Drosophila melanogaster: one gene and its partners. The protein of the gene in region 2 purifies or fractionates together with the protein of the main gene of each other region. This does not show direct contact. Each region holds a gene or a part of one and is shown on either strand. Other genes may lie near its edges.

Region 1 (5,121 bases), on a different chromosome or scaffold from region 2:
ACCGAAACTGCGGATGCATGGCATCGCATTAAGCTAAATATTCCGGTCCTGGAGCCGGTGAAGCACCTGATAAACACAGTTGGCGGTGGCGGCGTGAACGACTCCCATGTGAAGAGCAATACTCATCGGCTGATTGGACACCATGGCGTCCACGAAACTCACCACAATGGCGGGAACATCAGCTCCCCGGCCATCGAAACGGAGGAGGATCGGGAGACAGCCATCGACAGCACCGGATTCGATGTTCTGGAAACGTTGGGCAGCGCGGGAACGGTTCTGTTCAGCATCTTGCAGAATCTTCGCAAGGTGTTTGCCGCTAGCGCTGGAAGTGCAAGTTCCGCATCCTCGGGGGGCGGCGGCGGTGGAGCAAACTAGTGGACTTTCTCGGAGATTATGTTCTGTGATTAATATAAGTCTTGTGCAAATTCGGATTTCCCTTGATTCTTACTAATTAAATAAACGAAATGTTATGAAAATGGAGAAATTAATATTTCGATTTTGGGAAATAGATTTTGCCACTACCCCAAAAAAGACTTGCAGTTGGATTTTATAAAATATTTTACTGTCTTAATTCTGGTTTTTTATACGATACTCTTAAGTAGCCTACATGAACTCATAGTTTCCGTCGTCAAAGTTGCGATTGCCGACCATTGGACCGCCTGCTCCCATTTGATTGGGATTCTGGCCACCCATTTGCGGCCGGAACTGATTGCCTGGCGTGGTCTGGTGCTGCAAGAGCTGGCGCAGCCCCGGGTTGTTGTTGCTCATCATGGGACGCACCATGCGCTGCTGCTGCTGTTGCGCCTGCTGCTGCTGCATTGCGGCGACGTTTGGCGCCACTTGTTGCAACTGCTGCTGGAGGTTTGGATTGGGCACGCCACCGGGACCAACACCCACGCCAACACCTACGCCCAGTGGCATTCGCTGTTGCTGCATCATGTTCATCTGCATTTGATTCTGTTGCATGGGCATGCCGCCGGGACCGGGACCAGGTCCGCCGCCAGGACCTCCACCACCCATCTGCATATTGAGTTGGAACTGGTTGTAGTGTTGCTGCTGCGAGTTATCCTGTTGCATCTGTTGCTGCTGTTGTTGTTGTTGCTGTTGCTGCTGCAGCTCCATGGGCGACTTGCCTTGCTGCTGCATCATTTGCTGCTGTTGCTGCTGCTGTTGCATGTTGCCGTGCTGCTTTTGCTGTATGACTTTGCGCAGACGTTCCACAAACATTGCCTGATTATTGGGAATGAAGCCCAGAAAAGCGTTGCGATCGGGCGTGTAGAGTAGGATGAGAACCTTAAGGTCACAGGCTGGTGAGTTGGGGATGGAGGAGAAGTGGACGCAGCCAGCATAGCCGGAGGTCATCATCTTGGCCAGCGAATCGAGTGCCTCTCCTGGAGTGGGTCGAAAAACAACCATTTTCGAGTCCTTGAGAAACTGCCCACCAATATTGCCAACTAGGTGCTTGGGCATTAGCTGCATCAACAGCTTGGGCGGCCAGTTCTCAGCCTTGATCTCGGGCTCGCCATCTTTGATGTTGGTGCACACGGTACACTGGAGTGTATGGGGAATCTTCTGTTGATCGGACTTTGGCTTCTCTGACCACTCCAGCACTCCGGTCCATATCTTTTCCCTCAAGGAGGCCTGCTCCTGCTGCGAATTTCCCTGCTGTTGCTGCTGCGGATTGCCCTGCTGCTGCGGATTCGACTGTTGTCCTACTTGTTGTTGCTGCTGCTGCGGATTAGACATGTTGCCGGCATTGCTAGCCGGCATCATATTGTTTCCTGCATTGGGATTTACCTGCTGCTGTTGCTGTCCTTGCTGCTGCTGTTGCTGTTGCTGGGCCAGTTGCTGTTGCTGCTGCAACTGCTGGTGATTTAGCATCTGCTGCTGGCTCAGCATCTGCATCCTTTGTTGCTGCTGCTGTTGGGCCTGTTGTTGCTGCTGCTGCTGCTGCTGCGCCTGCTGCTGTTGCTGCTGCTGCAGCGAGGTCACAGTTTGGTTCGGCGGCGGCGCATTAATGCGCGATATCAGAGCAGAATTTGGATTCTGTTGCATGCCGCCGCCTTGGCCCACACCGCCCACATTGCCTGCTCCCTGCATGAAGGGCGGACGCGCCTGACCAGGCTGGTTGGGATACATCCAGCGGTTTTGGCCGGGTCCCACGTTTTGCTGGAAGTTCTGATTCTGCATTTGATTGGAAACGAATTGATTCTGCTGCTGCTGCTGCAATAGTTGCTGCTGCTGCTGTGGATTGAGTAAGCCCGCTGGGGGATTTGGACCGGGCTGCTGTTGCTGCATCGTGTTCATGTTCATGACCTGCTGCTGAGGATTGCCTTGTTGTTGCTGTTGCTGCTGCTGTTGTTGTTGCTGTTGCTGCTGCTGGGCTGGAGTGGTGTCCATGGGCATGCCCTGCCCTTGTTGTTGCTGACCAGCTTGATTTTGTTGCTGTTGTTGTTGCTGCTGCACTGTAGCCTGTGCCGCATTGGGTGCAGCCATTTGGGCCGCCATGCTGTTGGGACTAGGTGCTCTCTCCTTGAGGCTGTATCCCTTTAGAAGCACTAGGTGTCTTATGTTCTTGGCATAGTTTTTGCTCGTAATGGGCTGATCTCCGTCGGCCTTCATGAAAAGTTTGAACAACACCGGCATCTTGCGTGGCGCAATAATGGAGAGATTGATTTTGCGCTCGTTGAAGAGCGCCGCCAGCTGCTCACATGATTTGCCCGGATACTTCCACGACTCCGTTGTGGGCATCTGGTACGGCGGACTGTTGCAGATGAGAATGCAGTGCCTCTGGACGCTGGTCTGATCGAGCAACTGGCGCCTTTCGCTGATGTCATCAAAACAGCCGTGGGCCGCAGCAAATCCTTCGGCCATGTGGGCACAGGACTCCATTCCGCCTCCCACTAGTGGCAATCTTTCGATCGTCTCCATCACTTTTTGGGGCTGCAGAAAGGGACCATAGGTTGAACAAACTGGCTCCAGCAGATTGGCCGCTGTACGGTAGACCACAATACCGTACAGAGTGGCAAAGCGCTCCGCAATCAGGTATTCCCGCTCGTCGATGGAGCCAGTGGTGAAGTGCTCCAAAGTCGGCAGGATGTAGTTGGTCTTTAGTTCGTTGATGTAGGCTCCGTTGATGGCGCTGCCCTCGATGACGAAGACCACGTCGGCCAGGGGAATCTGGTCCACCTCCATTGGACGATGGGAGTTGGCTTTAAGTTGAAAAACTTGTTGCAAAAAATGTAAACTATGTTGTCTGCTTTACACCGCTCTTTTACTTTTTTCGTTTGTTTTGCATATCGCTCTGCTGCTATCGATAGTCAACTTATGGTTATCGCTCAGCGATTGCTAGGGCTGCAAAATAAATGAATATTCAAAAGTGCCCATAAAGTTGGATTTAAGAATATGCAGATTGCCTTGAAAACTTGTTTCTATTGAATTCTTTTTCTATTTTCACAAATAAAAAAACGTTTGGTGTTTATCTAATTAACTTAAAATTGAATATTGCATACAAAAGATAACTATAAATAAGATATTACGATGTTTTATGTTAGGTATCATAATTATAGTTGTTTTATGTATGTATTTTCAATGGAACTATAAAGTTAATTCTTTAAATATTCGTTACCAATAGTTTATATCGATGGTTGCAAGTGCTGCCAGACTCTCGCAGCGAGTTTCCGTTCGGCAGTCTGGCAGCGCGGTCAGCTGTTCCTATTGCCCAACTTGCGCAGTTCGTTTTGTTCAGTTCATTCGCCGATTTTGAAGAATGCGGACGTTGACGCTGGTACCGCGTCGTTTTGCCAAAATAATTCGTAAAAAATATACGCAAAACGCTTAGAAAGTGTCAATTAACTAAACATTAGCTATTGAGCAGTGCAAGTGCAGGAAAAACGATCGCAGAAATAGCCGAAAACACATGAAAGTGCGAATTGCGGGCTTTTTTGTGGCTGGCACAGAATGTGTGGCACAAAGCGGAAAGCGCGCTAATTGAGCGTGCGAGCGCCTGAAACGCAGAGAAATGTAAATAAATAAACGTGTGACGCCGCGACAATTGTGAAAAGTGCACAAACACGACGTTTGGCAAGTGAAAAGTGAGTGAAATCTAGATAAATTTCATTAAATTGCCCATTTCGCATCTGGCAAGAAGAACAGCTGTTGTTTGGCATCTCGCTCTGTCTGGTTGTCCTCTCTCTTATTTTGCCCTCTCTCTGTTTTTGTTGCTCCCCTTTGCTTCTGTTTTTTTTTACTGCAATGTTGCTAAATCGTTTGATTCTATTATTATAATTATACTCCTTGCCCTGACGTCACTGCCTCGAAAAACCTGATAATTTGGGTAGGCAATTAGCATGGTTTAAGTATAGTTTAGAGTACAGAGAAGTGAATTAAACGGCCATGTGTGCACAGCATGCATGCTTTTTTGTTATTGTTGCCTGGCAACATGTTTCGCCACATCTGCCTTTTTTTTCTTGTCTCTCTGTTAGTCCAATTTGCCAATAAGCAACTTTTCCATTTGTTTACAATAATTGTGATCGCTACAGAAGCACCGATCGTGAAGTAAAAAGCGCCTACATAAATATAAGGCACCAGTTATGCTTGGGCGTCACTCCGACTGCCGATCGCCAGTTATTTTAGTTGGGTGTTTGTACATTTAAATACCCTACCTAAATGCAACTTACTCGCATGTAGTCAATATCATTCAAACCCTAATATGTTACGCATTTTCCAATCGGGTTTATCACATATAAACAATATCGAAGCCAGATAAAGCGACTTGTGATAATAATCACCCATACAACAAAGGCTGTTCATTCATTATATTTACCATATTATTGATAACTATTTTTATAACTGAACTACAATATGTTCTTATAAATAAAGAATCACTAGATAATTTAAATATTAAATGAAATAAGTACAAACTATTTTTTAACTATAATAAGTTATTATTTGAGTAATTGCACGTATTATCATGTACGGATGTAGGTTTTTTGCTTTAAATAATAAACGTATTTAAACGTATTTTTAATTGATTAAGGGTATACTAAATGCATTGCTTTCGGCTCCGCCATTCACTTTCCACTATTGCGTCATTATTGGTTGATTTATGTATTTTATCGT
Region 2 (5,162 bases):
AATATATAATTTTTTTCATTTACTCCCCTTTTAAATGTACGAATTAATCAAACTCACTTTTTAAAAATATTGATCATTTCCTGACTTTACGTTGGTCAAAACCAGACACTGCTATTCTTATGAACAGCCTAAAAGTTGTGATTTCGCTTAAGAAAGTAAATAAAAAAAGGATAACATGAAAAACTAACCGGATTTTCTTTTTTTCCCTATATACACATTCCATTTAACAAAAATAAGTGGAATAAAAAGTCAATTCCGAAAAGGGACATGGAAAAATACCTTTGTATTAATTAGTATTCCTCGCACTGCTATTTTTCTGAACACAGCTGTACATACCATTTTATATAATAGTCATTTTTTATATGTATACATGATCCAATTTCTATTGCCCAGAATTTCAAAAACTCTTTCGAGTTAGATCAATTTGCCTGTTGGTGATTAGAACTACGATACCTCAAAGTTATTATGGTATAACCACAGAACCACAGAAGCCCATTGATACCAAATATCAAATCAATATCAAATATCAGTATGGTATTGTCGATTGGAAAATAGGGACGCCATAGTTGTGTGCTTTATTTCGTTTATCCGACTTCACGTGGGAAGCGTAGTCAGTGTTGTAATGTCTATTTAAAATCGTAAGTATATCAGTTAGCGAGTTCCGTAGCGACAAAAGGGGTTAGGGGTTAGAGGCTAGTACAATCGCCGCGTGTAATGCATCTGCTGACCAGGAGGCGGCTGGGCGGAGCCGGATCCGGACGGTGCTCCCGGCTGGCCAGGCAGCATCGCCAGCTGTTGCCGAGCCAACTGCTGCTCGTGGGCGGATCCACCTCGTCCAGGGGCATAGCCCTGTGTGATGCTTCCCGCTGTTTTCGGATTCTGTGGAGGAAACTGGCCAGGCGTTAGTCAAGTGAATATTTAGTTCTTCCTTGTAAATGATATCAAACATGTTAATCAGTAGTTGGGAAGTTGGTTCTAATGCGTTTTCCTATGAAAACATGAAAACCTGCAACAATGAATTTGTTTTATAGAAAACAGCTCTTATTCAAGATGCTCAGGCTTTAAAAACCATTTTCGCAGAGCCTAATCGTTGAACTTCGATTTCGAAGATGTAAATCTAACTTGTTTGTTCTAAGTTGTAAATTCTAAGACACTGCCACGGCTAATTAACCACAAATGTTGAGAATGAGACCCACCTGGCTGCTGCTTATCTGCAGCACGTTGCTGTGCAATGAGAGTTCGTTGAGCAGCGGCTTGAAGATGACGCCCTCCGGCAGCAGGTGTGGCGGAGGCGGGACGTGGCTCGGCGGCTGGCCGTCGTGCTTCACCTCGATGTGGTAGCGGTCCGGTAGCTTCTCCATAGTCACGTGTGGCTGGGAGGCCTTTACCGAGAGGCTGCCGCCGGCTTGAGCCACCAGGTCTGCCTGCGAAATGGTCGGCTGGTCGAGGTTGATGTGAAGCACTTGCATGGGCTGCGACTGCGACGGTGCCTTGGGCGACTGCGAGTCGGGCGGCTTGCTGACCGTGGCGCTGGGCAGGTCCACGTGGTAGGCCTGGCGCAACGGAAGGTTGTAGTTGTAGATGGACTGCAAGCGGGCGTCCGCCTGGTGCTGTGTCGTCGGCGGAGGAGCGACCGTCTGGTAGAAGACCGTTCCCGTGCCCGGATACTGTGCCGCTGTTTCTGGAAGAGAGGAAAAGTGAGGTTTAATTGACGAATCTGGCGATCGTTCCGACGGAGGATCTCGGGCTTGGTATTGCAAGTGAGGTGCTTACTGTTCCATGATAATCTAGCATAGTCAGCGGCACGACGGTAGTCATCGTGTTCTGCGAATCGATCGTAAACAAATAACGAAATGAACATAAGTTGTGTGCCTGTGTTGTTAGAGGTTAGTGTGCGCAGTGAAATGGATTTCTCATGAACGGGACGGAGTGTTAGCGAGCAGTTAATCAAGAAGAACAGCGAAAGCTCCGCAGAACAGATCAATCGGTGATTGTATCGCACCTTTAGCCAATGCCAATTTGCAGTTGAATTTTAAAACTCGAGCTATCTGCTAGAAACCCTATATATATCGTTTCTACACTATATATCCTTCAAAATAATAGGGTAATTTTTGTGCACATTAAAACACATTAAACTAAACCATCCAATACAAAGCCTAAACAGCACGAAACTTTCTTTATATCGAATTGATTATTTACTTAACACTTAACCATGTTTTTGCAATCATTCCTAATTAGAAGTTCAATTGATATTAGTGCTAATATTTCATAGAGCTTAAAAAAGGGCTTGGCAATCAGAATGTAGAGATGATGACATCACAAAAATCACGTATATCTCTCGTCCAAATCAAGAACCATACATATGTGCTAACCAATTCAATGACTAATCAAATTATGAGCAGATCCCGCATTCGAGTTAACAAAATCCAACCGAAATTGCGTGCATGAGACTTTGGACTGCCTGCCTGAGGCAGCGTTCACTGTATCGGAGGCCCAGGGACCACATTGTCGACCTCTTCCTGGCTTACTCTGCTGGGCGTAGCTGGCGGCGCTCTTGTAGTAAGCCTGCTGCTGACTCGGCGGCGATGGACTCCTGCCACGTTTTCCTGGCTGTCCGCCGGACGGGAGCTGCGAGGAAAAAAGAGGACCATTAGAACCTGAATCCCACAATTGCGCAGTCGAGACCTTCTGCATCAGCGTATGGTGCTGGTGTTGGAGGCGCAGGGGCGGCAGGAAGACCGGGCTACTGGCCGCCGCCTGCTGGATGGCGAACAGTTCGTTCTCCTTGGCCAGCTTCTTGCGCGTTTCGTCCTCGTTGAGCACCTTCTTGAGTTGGACGGTCAGCTGATGCTTCTGGCTGTGCAGATCGGCCAGCTGCTCGTCCAGTCGGGTTATCTGGCCGCGTGTGTCATCCAGGGCCACCTGGTTCTGGCGCTCCACCTCCTCGCGCTCCCGTCGCAGCCGCTGCTCCTCGCACTGAGCCTCGAACTCCTCCTGGCGCCGCTGGCGGTCCGCCACGATGAAGCCCTTCAGTGCCCCGCGCAGCTTCTCCGCCCGCTCGGCCTTCGCCGCCTGGGCGGCCGCGTTGCTGTTGTTTACCGCTGATGCTGGCGGCATCTTTGTGCTCTGCTTAGTTATCTTGCCAATTTTATAAGCGTTCGTGGACGACCGGGCAATCGCGACTGTTTGACCGAACCGACCGAGAGGCTCCCCAAATGGAATGGCGTGCTGGTGGCGGTGGGCTGGAATCCGGGTGGACACCGCTACGGGAATCAATGGTTGGGCGTCTTGGGATCACTGCAAATGCTCGACGCCGGGCTGCACTTTATTTTCGTTCACTTTCAGCACGGTTTTTTGTGGTAAACAATTTGTTGAGTGAGTGGGATGTGCCGACCAGTGTTGCCACCAATCGATTAATGGGCAAAGCTAGCTAGAAAATAGCTACTTTCCGATTGTGGTGGCAAATCTTAAGTTAACGTTCGAACTAAATCACTTATAAAGAATTCGATTTTTTCTTTAAAGCTTATATTCCTAATATTACTAGTCACACCCCAGAATTTAATATAAAATACAAATAGTTTCAACACTGATCGATACTTATCGATAACTTTTTGGAAACAGATTATAGTTTTTGGAAAATCCAAGCATTAAAGTCTAGACATTCTAGAAATGTCTATCGATGTTAATAAAATGCGTAAGCATCGATATGGCATCTCTCATTGGAGGTATCGTGCAGCTCGAGCTCTGCGGTCACACTAGAATTGCAGTTGTTGGTGTGAACGTCTGAACGCGATTCGGAAAATACGGATTACACGGATAATACGAATTATACGGATATTGCGGAAGTTGAACGGAGACGCGACTGAAAGAAAGCCGTGAAATGTGTTCAGTTGCGCGCAGCAGTCATTAGCCTATCAGCAGTGTTTGTTACAAGCTAACAGTGATACAACGTGCCTGGAATCGCAACCAACGCAGAGCAAGAAAAGCAGAAAAGCATAAAAACGGAAGAAGCAGCAGCGGAATAATCAACAAAGGCGGCAAACATGGCGAGTGAGTAACATCGAGCATTTCTCTGCCTATGGAGCATCCCAAACGACATACAGCAGACCCCGGATTCCTTTTCCATAGCATAAACAAACGCAATTCATGCGAGTCATTGCAGCGGCCGTTTTATGGCTGCAGTGCAGCATTTACGAGCTGCGAAAACTTCCAAATCGCTGCCAGGTGTCGGAGGAAGTTGCTCCGAGCAGGGGCAGTGGGGTGGGGGCGGGCGATGCGGCTCCCTAGACAAGATGTGTGTGTTTGCCGGGGACATGTGAGAAAAATCAATACTTATGCTCCCCACTCCCCATCCCACTGCACAGTGGGCCGGTCGGATTAGGCAGATGCCGTGCTCCTGCTGCTGTGCGCACCCACTTATCGCGGCCAACAGGGTCAGCGCTTCCCAATCAGAAATCCCGCTCTTTTATCCTTTAATGGCCCCGGCAGTTCTGGCGGGAATTAAGTGCGGCTGAGACAGCGGCCACCACCGTTTTGCACGAACCCGCCACCCGAGCCGCCCACTCCACCGCAGCACAGGAGGAATAGGAATGGGAACTGGGAACAGCAGTGACGACGCATTAATAAATGAGAATATGCCTCCTGCGAGGTGCCAGGTTTACCGGCGTGTCGCAACACTCCCCGCAGTCCTCACAATTCGTTTTATCCCCACGGGGGGTGATATAGCAAACAAAACGATGAAGTCATGCACAGTGAGAAATCTATGGCAACTTTGTTGAATTGTTGATAAACATTACAATTAGGACAATCTTCACAGATTAAGCTTAAAAGGGCTTAAAATTCGATACTACTTTGCAGTCAAAGCGCAGTCATTGTCAAGATAAAGCTGTGACTAACTAAAAGAAACCCCTTTTTTTCTTGTGTTTCTCAGTGTAGTTGGATGTGTAACGTACGCACTGGATGTGTTATATTTGGGTCAGTCACCGATGAGAATTGTTAAACGTAAACAAGTCTCTAAACTTCTTAGTTTTCAAACGTGACTGCACCGAATCAACACATACATAAACACTGGCCACAGACTGTACTGTTTGTATACCCTTTCCCGAGGGGAACCTGTGCAGAACGACAACAAACAGCACTTGAACGCGCCGGCAATCCCGGCC
Region 3 (4,586 bases), on a different chromosome or scaffold from region 2:
GCACTTGAGCTACCTGAACGGGGTCCGTTGGGTCGATAGGCTTCTGCTGGGAGAATGATTGCTGCGGCTGAGTGGCTTGTCCAGGAACCACCTGATGCTGATGCAGCTTTGCCTGCATGGGTGGAGTTTGAGAAATCTGGGGCGATTGCGGAGAAATATGCTGGGGACTCTGCTGTTGCTGTTGTTGCTGCTGTTGGGCCAATTGTTGTTGCTGCTGCAATTGCATGCGCTGCTGTTGATGGACGGGCTGTTGAAAGGGCTGCATCTGTTGCTGCTGTTGCGGCGACATCATAGATTGTGGTTGAGGTTGTTGTGGCGAGCCCATCATGTGCTGTTGTCGATTCTGTTGCATTTGCTGTTGCTGGCGCAAATGTTGTTGCTGGGCGTTTTGCGGCGAGGGCGGAGGTGGCGGAGTCATTTGGGGAGCTGGGGATTGCAGTTGTCGCGGCGATTGTGGCGGCAACATATTGCTAGTTGCATGATGCTGCTGTTGCTGCAACGATGGGGATGGCGTACTTGGTGGCATTACCGGCGAACGGTTTTGCACCATCCGAGGCGACTGTTGTTGTTGTAGATTCTGTTGCTGTTGTTGCTGCTGCATTTGCATCTGTAATTGCTGCTGCTGCTGCATAACTTGTTGCAGCTGTTGTTGAATTTGTCTCTGTTGCTGCTGCTGTTGCGGCGTCAATGCTTGTCCGCTTTGCACGATTTGCTGCAATTGCATTTGATTCTGGTTCAAAATTTGTTGCTGCCGCATTAGATGTTGGTGTATGATTTGCGGCGAAACCGGCACAGATTGTTGTTGTGGCTGCTGTTGCTGAACAACTTGCTGCTGAACAATTTGCTGTTGCTGAACTATCTGCTGCTGCTGTACCATCGTTTGCTGCTGGCCCACTTGTTGCTGCACCACCTGTTGCTGTTGAACTATCTGCTGGTGGTGCTGAGGGGATTGCACGGGCTGCGGCGTTGTAGATGGTGTACGTGGTGTCTGCCGGCCTGTTGGAGTCGTTGGCAGTCGGGGCGACTGCTGTTGCTGAGGAATTTGTTGTGGATGTTGTTGAGAAAGTTGCTGTGGAAGTTGCTGTGCGATTTGTTGCGGGTGTTGTTGCGCAAGCTGCTGTTGAAGTGGTTGAGGATGCGGCTGTTGCTCCTGCTGCATTAGTTGCATTTGGATTTGTTGCTGTTGCTGAGACTGCTGCGTTGTTTTCATTTGTCTCTGCTGTAGGATATTTTTGATTTGCTGCTGGTTTTGTGGTTGCTGCTGCAGGTTGGCGGGGATAATCTTCTGCTGCTGAATTATTAATTGTTGTTGATGCTGCGGGTGTGGTGCAGGAGTAGGTGCTTGAGGACCACCTTGCTGTAACTGGTGAGGGGATTGTTGTGCTGGCTGTTGGGGTTGTGGCTGTGGGCGCACAAAGACCACCTGCTGCTGTGCGGGTACGGGCAGCTGTTGCTGCTGTATTTGTTCAGCTGAAGCCTGCAGCTGAGACTTAATGCTAGCGATGCTCTTGGCAGCTACGCTGTCCTCGCCAAAGCCAAGGATGTCAGATAGGGCAGAAGTAGCCGTTGCCTGTTGCTGGATAATCTGCTGTTGATGTTGCTGCTGCTGCTGCTGCTGCTGTTGTTGTTGTTGTTGTTGTTGTTGTTGTTGTTGTTGTTGTTGTTGTTGTTGCTGCTGCTGCTGCTGCTGCTGTTGTTGCTGCATCTGGTGTTGGTGCTGCAATTGCTGCTGCTGCTGAATTTGTTGCTGCTGCGTAGCCTGCTGCTTTTGTGTTCGCTGCTTTTCAATGGGCTTCAGCAGTCTCGGATGATACGTCTCCACGGGCATGCAGTTTTTGTACTTAAGGCTATCTGTCACCCAGTCGGGCGTCACAATAATGATGGCATTCTTGGGCAGGGCCAGCGCCTTGTTGTAGATGCCACCGTTGGCTGCACCGCACACCAGATGCGTGTTGGTGGCCCCAAAGCTGTGCGTGACTACGGCACCGTGGTATGTCAGCATGGCGTAAAGACGCCTTCGATCCCCTGCCACTACATTGGTGATGGCCACCCGAATGCCGCGCATCAACCGCATTTGATTCGGACTCGGGTCGAAAGCCCGTGTCGAGGCCATTCGGCCTAGCTTGGCGCTGTGCACGATCCATTGCTCCGTTACGGGAATTGCACTGTAGAGGTCCAGGTTCATGGACAGCTCCTCCTCGTTGTAGTTGGTGGCGCATATCATGTGGGTGATTTGGTCCGACAGGAACAGTTTCGATTGAGCGCCACCGCTCTTAAGAAAGCGTTCGATCTGCAAGGCAAAGGCATAATAATTATTTATTACATTACTTGATTTAAACAGTATATATAAAAGATATATGTATGTGACCAAATAAGAATTCTTTTTTCAAGGGTGCCAAATATGTTGCTTCCGTTGGTAGAGGAGAACCAAAACAAAAATCAGTTGATTTAGCACCAATACAAACTCCAGTACACAAACACACAAACACGGCAATTTGCCGGCAACTTTTATGGCGCGCATTTGCCAAGGTGCCCGGGTTACCCTGTCCGCCCGCGCTCCAACCCACCCTGTGAGACGCACGCACACCCGCTCACACAAACACACACACACGTACGCACAATGCAAGTACAGCAACAGCAAACGAAAGATTCGCTTTGCAGCTTTTTACCTCCTCGTCCAGATTTCCCAGCACAAAGTATATCACATCCTCGAACAGTTTGTCGCTTATCTTGAGGTTCTCCATGGCGCCGCCGTTTGTTTGACCACTTGCACTTCTCTGGCGGCGCTAATTTCACTTTTGCTTTTGTTATTGCTGCTGCCGCGGCTGCTCGTGGGCATCTACATTGCAGCGTGTTTTCTCGTCTTTCCGCTGATCTTGGCCATTTGCGAACTTCGAAAAACGGTGTGCGATGCGGTGCTTATCGCGTAGCACATAACAAATGCAATTTGGAACCGAAAAATTGCATTTAAAGATCACTTTTTCTCTTTTATCACCGCTGCGCCTTCCGCCTAGAGTTGGTACAAAACACTGTTTATGCGATACTATCGATAGTTCCAGAAGTGTGGCAATATGGATGCTTAATCTGCTGGTATCGATTGGTGGAAAACTTGGATATTTGATTGATTTCATTTGTACTGTGGTCCAAAAAGCGATTTTATTGGTTAAAACTTTTTTAATTGGGCCTAAAACTCACTTTGCAAGTTCGATTAACTTTTAACTAAAACACGATGTTCGTATGAAAATATATGAACCCATCTATTTGTATTAAATATTGTGTATTTCCCACCTATTTTGGTGATTTCATTTCGTTCCCGTCCAATTTGAACAACCAATTACCATACCACACCGCTCGAAGGAACGTTTCCTAGTTAATTAGACTCCACTCCGGGCACTTATAATTTAAGTAAACATTTGTATGGCACATTTCCGATTCAGTTGTTGGGTTAGCGCCCCAGGAAATCAACACATTTATAAGTATACGTACATACATTTATTTTAGCTCTGCTTGATTTACAAATTCATTTTAACTCGACTGTTTGGTTTTTGCATCAAAAATTTAGCTCTGCAAGCAGCAGTACCTATGTTATTATCAATTAGTTGGTGAAATTCCGTCAACTGCTTATAGAATGAATGCAAAAAAAAAAATATAAAAACATTTTCCATAGAACATGGTGAACTTTTAAAAACTTTTGATGGAATCCCAGTAATGTACGAGAACGTGTGTGTGTGTGTGGCTGGCTGCTCCAACTTAAATTTATTATGCTCGTAATACTTACAACTATGTACGACGAGGGTAAGTTAGTTTAATGTTACAAAGATAGAGATATATATAACTGTTGCAATAAATTTCGCGCTGCTCGGCTCGCCATCTTCGCTTCCCCGGCCTGAGAGATGGACTGATGAGTTGATCTTGAGATTGATTGGCCAGTGCGGATGGCGATTGAATTTAACGGGGGAAACACGGAACATGGTGCTAGAATTTCAGTTTAAACTGTCGCGAAATGCCCGCACAATCCGGCAGCAGCCATCTTAGCATTAGGTTTTTCATTAAAATTAGGTATAGAGCATTTGAAGTGGGGAACGGAGAACTGGCTGCACTTGAGGTTGTGGATACAGTAGAGGTGAGTGTTGAGTGGTGAGTAAATTAGCTCGTCGCCGGGAACTTGTTACAGGGTTGGATGATCGAAGTCTTGCGCGCCGGCACGGTTTCGGGCGTGGGAATGGCCTCCCCGGTGGTCACCTTGTTGGCAAAGACCTGCTTGACGCCGCCACCCTTCTGCTTGGCCATCTGGTAATCGCCCGAGTCGAAGAACTTTTGCTGTGGGAAGGATATGAAGGAATACATATTAGATTTCTCTTATATAATCAAATAGCTTTTTAGAACTAAAACGGAGATATCTTCCAAATGCAAACTTAATGTAACAATCTGATTTCGTTTACCAGATCATCAAGTTGATATAAACTATGCGCTGTGATTATTGAGTTTCATTGATTTCAGAAAGCAATTGCCAAATAGTATGGATCTTAGAATAGAGGAAACATGAATTGTTATTTTCCTTTAAACAACGGGTACTAAATACTACT
Region 4 (7,184 bases), on a different chromosome or scaffold from region 2:
AACTACATCAGCTTGTAACGTTAGTATAGTTAACTACGATAAATGCGATTGGGACGTTTCTCTTTTAGAGTAATTTAGTCTAAAAATCATGGTATTTGGGCTAAAAGCACACACTCGACTTATTCTATACAAACATATGGTTTTCTCCATCCGTTTATGCGGATGGATTCAGTCGGCATTTGAATGCTACAAAAATTCACTCACACTCAGTCTCAAGCACACAATTATGATCGACTTAAGTTTAATTGTTAAATAAAAACAAGATTAAACAAATGCGTGGAGAATGTTTACAACAAAAGATCGCGAAATATTTGAAAATACATTAGGGATAACGATTTTCGGCCTCAGTCGGCAAAATGATTTTGTTAATATAACAATTTCCATATTAATTGCACGCACAAGTGCAATAATTTTGTAATTTTTACATACAATTTTGTTGTACAATTATAAAGTCATTAACTAATAAGATGTTTTTTTTTTTATATAATAAGAGTACAAGAAGACACACAATACAAGACAGTTTTGGTAAAGGTTTTTTCTGGAACAATTCTTTTTTTCATACGTTTATGTTTTATTAAATAAACCGAAATTTTAGAGTACAATAATATTGAAATTCTGCTGCGAAGACGGCGGTGCAGGAATGCTAGTTGTTTGTTGTTTGATGATCCAGTGCGCATCAGTGTCTATAATGTCCCACGCTGACTGTCCCCTTGGCTTCTCCATCGATCCTCCTGCTACTGCTGCTGACTTCGGTCTGCCGGTCTTGATGTTGCCAGGATTCTGTGATGTGAAGTTGGATGGATCCAGAGGCAGTCCCCGTCCGTCGTTGGTAAAATCTTGTCAGCATTTCGGCTTATTATAGTATGTCTAGAAGAACTATGCTGTTTGCCATATTCATATCCTACGTATTGGTAATGTTAGATACAAATCGAAAATCTGTTAATTGTGGCTAGCTTGTCATCCCACCAAGCTGCGGCTTATTGTTTGTTAATAGAGTGTGTTTAGTATATCTGTGTTGCATCTTTACACTTGATTACGGGTCCACTGGCGATGGTTCCAACTTCCACTTACGGCAGTCAATGCCGGGAACGGTGCTCCTCACGCCTGTCGCGATCACGCTCCCGCTCGCGGTCGCGGTCTCGATCGCGGTCGCGTCGCTCACGGTCCGAGGAGCGGTACCTTTCCCGATCCTCGTAGTAGCGCTTCGATGATGGCGCCTCCGCTGCTTCGGCGACTACGGGTTCCGGCGACTTTCGTGGACGCACCGATCGGCTGTTTTCGGATTATGGGATTGAAATTAACGCAAGGTTTTCATTTCGAGCTTAAAAATAATTCGCTTAATTGTCACCGTATATTGTTGCACAAAAGAGCAAAAATATTCTGATGAGCCTAAACAGTTACAATTCAAGCTAACATCTTTACAGAAAGCTTTTAATGAAAATAAAAAATTTGAAAAGCCTATACCTTAAAAATACTACCTTTTAATAAATTATACATTTTTCCAAATATTTTAAAATAAAGTTTCGTCTGACTTTACAAATCTACACTTGTTTTTACAGCAAAAGTAAAAAATCTGTTTACGAGTGAATAAATTATGAGTTCTATGCTATTTAAATGAAGCACTATGATTAATTAATCAGCAACTTTTAAATGAGACAGTGAAGCGAATTTTTAGAAGTAGAACGTCTTTACCTGTCATCCCTGTAGTGATCTGGAGCCTGGCGTTCACGTTCTCTACTGCGAGACCTCTCTCTGTAGCTTCTAGAAAATGAATACGGAATTAAGTGTGAGGCTTACACATGGTAGAACCAAAACTTACCCGCCATCCCGTTCACGCTCACGATCCCGATCGCGTTCCCGCTCCCGAGATCGCTCGCGGTACCTGGACGTGGAACGCTCACGTCGCTGTCGGCTGCGATGAGATCGCTCCCTCGACCGCGACCTTTCGCGCCTATTGTAGCTCTTGGCCTCGATGCCATGCAACGTGTCCTGCAGCGAGCTAATCAGAATTTTGCATCGCTCATCGTGCGCTACCTTGGACTGTTTGATCAGTGAAATGGCTGTGACCAGTGTCTCGATGGCGCTCGAGTATTCACCAGCGGCTGCATCAGAAACAGCTCTGAAAATAAATTAGCATAAAAAGGGAATTGATATTTGATCAACAAAGTAATTAATTATCTAGATAATTTATTAATTAGACCGGATCTGAGTCATAGTTTCAATAATTGGAATTTTCTATGAATTCGACTTAGGAATGGGTTAGTTTTTAAATAATAACTACAAGTTTTGACCTCGTTAAAGAAAACATTTTAAAAACCTTTGCACTCACCTGGCGATCGCCGAACTGCTGACTGTGCGATTTCTGCTCATCACCTCCTCGAACTCCACCTCCGTCAGTTGCGGACCCATCTGCTGCGGATCGGGGAAGGGACCTGGTGGCTTACCCTGCGGTGGCGGCCACGGACCACGTGGTCCATGCTGGGCGAACTGGGGTGGCGGTCCATGCTGTGGCGTCATGTTCATGCCCTGTTGCGGTGGCATATTCATGCCTGGCTGTGGACCTGGTGCTCCGTGGGGCGGGCCACCCATGCCCGGATGCTGGGCAGGACCACCAGGCTGGTTAAAGAATGCTGGGTTCACGTGGGGTGCGGGTGCGCCGTGTGGTCCGCCCGGACCTGGTGCTGGGGGAAGGCCACGTGGCGGACCTTGCGGCGGGAAACCACCGTGCATGGGTGGACGACGCCAGTCGGGACCTGCCGGACCCCTGACGGGCATGCCCATTGGGCCTCCTTGGAACTGCAAGGCAGAAGAGACAAGATTATTTACTGTTCCCAATGATCGGATCGAATCGGTTTCTAAGCTATAGTATGAGTTTGTGTTGCATGGGTTGATCTGTGGAATTACTGAAAATGTTCTGAATACATCGCTTAAGACTAAGTTAACTAAGGTTAACTTAAGTTGGGTTAGTCTTCCTTTATCTCGCCTTCTCTCTGGCTTCGTTAGAATTATATTATGGCATAGATACAAAGAGGACTCAGTGCTTTGGGGATTGTTACCATTGGTCGCTGCGGTGGTCCGTTCGGTGGACCTGGTCGCGGCCCGCCTGGCCGCTGACCTGGCCATTGGCCCTGCGCTGACGGATACCGGGGTGGCGGCTGTTGGTTCCCCATGAGCCCGCCTTGCGGATGCATTGGCGGCTATATTAATACGAATTACGTTTTATATTGAAGTAGTAGTTGTTGTTGTGGGGTAGAAGTGTGCGTAAGCGTTGTCAAAGACATGGAATAGAACATAAATCGTAATACATAAACATTTTGTATAACAATAGCGGGCCATTATACACAATTACAAATACTAGGGGGGGAAATACATTAACGCAATTAAATCAAAAGTATATATTATTTGAGTGGAACCAGGAAGGCACTGCTCTTGATTTTAATTTATTACATGTGCTTTTTTTTGTTGAAAGTCTATGACTAGAGTACAAAAGGAGTAAAAAGAATACAAACTGCCTTAGGCCGAGGAGTGCTACAAAAAATTGCTCTGAAATTACTTGTGAATTAATAGAAGTAAAGAATAAGAATAGTACTTAAAGACATAAATAAAAATTCTTAGAAACTTAATTTGTACGACAGCTTTAGTTTAGTTTATAAATTATCAAATGAAATACTAACAAGAGATCGGATATTTCAGATTGTTTATATCTCACATCTAAAGTCGTTATTGTTTTCTCTAAATTGTAAAACTAAGTTTCTACGTTTAATTTACAAAAGAATATCGAACAACTGAAGTAGAACATATTCGTTTATAAACTATACATGAAGTCGTATATTTAGGGTTTCTAATTTTACCTAAGTAAGCAAATTTTGCATTCAGAACAATTTTGATGGAAATAGGAAATAATGTAGGAATGTAGAAACAAAACAAATTAGAACCGAGCGATATTTCTACAAACGATGAGACCTCTTGGGGCCATGTGGGGCTAAAACAGTGGTTGTGTACCTGCATTCGTGGAGGTCCTGAGTTGGGTCCGCCCACCTGGGGAACCTGCGACATGTGCTGCGGTCGGTACTGGCCCGGCTGCATGATGGAGTTCATCCCGCGCGGTGGATGTCCCGGTGGTCCACCTCCTTGCGGTCCTCCTGGATGTCCGGTGGGCATTGGCCCGCCACCCATACTGGGTGGTGCCGGACCCCTGGGCGGTCCATTCTGCTGCGGCGGCGGCACTGGACGCGTCTTTTGCAGACTCTCGAATTGGGTGAGTGCCTGCTTGCTGGGATACGTGACCACCGGCGCTTGGCCGTGCATCTCCTTCTTGGGCAGCTGGTCGAGCACGGCGCGCAGGCTAGATTCTGAGCCGAGGGAGATTACACTGAAGCCCTTCGACTGACCGTTGGCCCTGTTCTCAAAAAACTTCACTTCCTGTAGATCACTCACGCCAATGTCTCGCAGCGAATTGGCGATATCCTGGTCAGTGGTCCACCATGTGAGATTGCCCACATAAAGCTGGTAGCGGCGATTCATGGTCGGAGTGAGGCTACCACTGCTCTGATGGTACACCCCATTGGGACCACCGGAATTCCGTTCGCCGGGTTCCCCGGAGCCTGGCCCTGCGGCTCCATCTGCGGAGGGCGTTCCACCGCCCCCGCCACCTGAGGCGGCCGATTCGGTGGGACCGCCTATGTCATCGTATAGGTCTACTCCATCGCCTCCAAATTCGTCCTGTGCGGATAAAGCAAAGTAATTAACAAGTGGGTCAAACTGTTGTGGGAATCCCGTAAAATCGTTAAAAATAAACGATCAAGTCTTGTTTTTTTTACAAATTCGATTTTACTCTATTTTTACTTTAGAATTTTTAGAATGTATAGTTATTGGGATTCGTACAATTCTCTACATTTCCATGGCTAAAGAAATTAAAAAAAATTACGTTTCATTTTTATATAAATATAATATCCCTGCACTCAGTTCCTAGAACCCTACTTTACAAGGTACCAAGTGGTCGAGTTCGCCCAAGACGCCGTTCTACCCCCTAACGCAATTCTTTCGGACATCGATCCACCCTACTGTATACATACACACGCGGCTTGCAGAGCGACTGCCTTTTTCCCATGGCTTACCTGAGCCTGCCCGGCAAAGTCCTTGTCGAGGTCCTCCGCGTACAGATCCAAGACCACGTCGGCCATGTTGAGCCGGAAAAGTTGCTATTCCTAGGCGTAATTACTGATTTTTCACCGCTTTTCCCAATTTTCGCACGCACACTAAGACACTCGCCAATCTTTCCGTCTCTGTCCCACTTGCACTCGCGCCTCGTACAGTTTCTTTTTTTTTGCGGGGGAGGGGGAAGCCGGAGCAGAAACCGGCGTGCTGCTGCGCGATTTAGCCGGGTAATCGCGCCCGCTGCACAATTAATTGATTAATTGCTTTGGCGCGTTGTTTTCCGTTGGGTGAATTCTGTAACTATTTACATTCTACTCGTGCACGAACTAGTTTCTTCAATCTTGCGAAAAAATTGTCAGCGTAAAATGGCGGAGCGGTGCAGTGTGACTGTAAAGCTGAAATGTGGAAAACCTATGCGGTATATTTTTGCTCGCATACTAGAAAATACCACATCCTGTTTGGGGTATTCCGCAATTTGACAGTTAATGAGAATACAACTACGATAAAATATATTTAATGAATAGAATTTAATTAGATGTGTTTGTTACCTAAATCGCTTTATTATTACCATAAAATAATCACAAATACTTGACATCAATTTCCAATTTGACTGTGGTCGTAGCGTGGACACAAACCATTGAAAATATATCGACTTCTATCGAATTTTGAATTTTAAAACCAACCGTTAGAACTTTCTTGAAATGTGTAATAAGTTCATTAGGTTCTTTGTTATTAAAAATCGACATGTGAAAATACTTAACATTCATTACAACACCCATAACAGGCATATCTTAATTTAAATATGCATACTTCTAATAAATTTGCCTTTTTAGGGGACCACCATCACACACACATTAATTTGCATAAATTGTTAATGCTGCCCAAAAACTATAGCCATGCATATATTAGATTTGCAGGTCCAAATAGACGCTGACCGTGTCACTTGCACAACTAGACAGCGCACTTGGCCAGAGCTCCAAATTTAGAATTTAAATATAGCAATTAAGCTGATTTATGCGGCCCGTCTGCAGGTTACAATAATTGCCGCTAACAACTCGGCTCTCCGAAATCTTCGAACTTGCTGGTGGCTGGGAACCGAGGAGATTGTGGCGCCGTCGACTTGGCCACTCGTATGCAAATGCGCGGTGAAAAATTGGGGGAAAAAAAAACCGAGGCAGCATTTTTTAGTCGGGCCTGTGAAAAAAAAGACACATATCCCGAAATCTAGTGCATGATTAGCCATGTTATTCGTGTATCTGATGTTTTTTCATTTTTCTTCTCGTATTTGGGCAGTAGTCCACCTGTTGGTATTTAGTTTTTAACTTTGGCTCTTTGACTCCCATATGTTAGTTGCGTTAATGAATTGCCTTAAATGTCAATTACCACTGGCTTTTATCGTCCAATCTGAACGGACGGCAATTATATTTGCTGCTCTCGCCTCATGCGATTGTGTGTTTAATTAACAAGAGTAATTAAATGGGTAATTACGATCTTTACAGCAATCAATCGATTTTTAAATGCTTCAGCGAATAAAGCTATTGCAGATTGGATTTTCGCGATTTGCATATGTGGAAATGTGTTTCCAATTCAAGGTGGGCGGTTCTTCAAGAGCAATCACGCAGATGGAAATCGACGGATGTTGGTGGCGAGGGTGCAGTCAATTGAAATTCTCGGCTAATCGCTGACATTTTTGGGACAGAATTGGGGCTCAAAGGTGCAACATTGAAGGGGAGGAGACTTACGCACGTAGTATTTATCTTAAATATACTGCACGCTTTTAAAATAACCAACAATAATAGGATAAAAATCAATTGCTATGAAAATATTGCGCATACGCCGTGTGGCCTTTGGCTGGCTATCATAAAAGTCGTATAAGTGTTATTGAATGTTTCCGATCACTTAGATCTACATAATGGCTACCACTCATATCAATTGCCCCCCATCGACCATTTCGGACGTGCGTAAGTCATGTCAAAAATTTATTGCGTGACCATTGGCTGGGATACTTTATCAAAAAGCGGCGCCGC

What was found.
Region 1: the proteins of CG17002 (region 2) and MED25 purify together in Drosophila melanogaster (affinity purification with mass spectrometry, with the first as the bait; one large-scale study listed by BioGRID). This does not show direct contact.
Region 3: the proteins of CG17002 (region 2) and Ptip purify together in Drosophila melanogaster (affinity purification with mass spectrometry, with the first as the bait; one large-scale study listed by BioGRID). This does not show direct contact.
Region 4: the proteins of CG17002 (region 2) and Cpsf6 purify together in Drosophila melanogaster (affinity purification with mass spectrometry, with the first as the bait; one large-scale study listed by BioGRID). This does not show direct contact.

The regions. Positions count from the first base shown.
Region 1 is NT_033777.3:20,007,134-20,012,254, reverse strand, and holds MED25 (mediator complex subunit 25), read right to left. Parts: upstream 3,309-5,121; 5' UTR 3,196-3,308; coding exon 604-3,195; 3' UTR 543-603; downstream 1-542. Other genes in the region: CG17190 (uncharacterized protein), read left to right, coding at 1-375.
Region 2 is NT_033778.4:6,984,300-6,989,461, reverse strand, and holds CG17002 (uncharacterized protein), read right to left. Parts: upstream 3,420-5,162; 5' UTR 3,118-3,419; coding exon 2,686-3,117; intron 2,629-2,685; coding exon 2,529-2,628; intron 1,825-2,528; coding exon 1,774-1,824; intron 1,682-1,773; coding exon 1,197-1,681; intron 892-1,196; coding exon 694-891; 3' UTR 540-693; downstream 1-539. Other genes in the region: vimar (visceral mesodermal armadillo-repeats), read left to right, coding at 4,044-4,050.
Region 3 is NT_037436.4:14,026,101-14,030,686, forward strand, and holds the start of Ptip (PAX transcription activation domain interacting protein), read right to left. Parts: upstream 3,022-4,586; 5' UTR 2,745-3,021; coding exon 2,670-2,744; intron 2,291-2,669; coding exon 1-2,290. Other genes in the region: endos (endosulfine), read right to left, coding at 4,147-4,320.
Region 4 is NT_037436.4:8,309,955-8,317,138, forward strand, and holds Cpsf6 (cleavage and polyadenylation specific factor 6), read right to left. Parts: upstream 5,549-7,184; 5' UTR 5,184-5,548; coding exon 5,118-5,183; intron 4,723-5,117; coding exon 4,003-4,722; intron 3,198-4,002; coding exon 3,057-3,197; intron 2,797-3,056; coding exon 2,330-2,796; intron 2,120-2,329; coding exon 1,820-2,119; intron 1,762-1,819; coding exon 1,693-1,761; intron 1,273-1,692; coding exon 1,077-1,272; 3' UTR 539-1,076; downstream 1-538. UniProt on the Drosophila melanogaster protein: May play a role in pre-mRNA 3'-processing.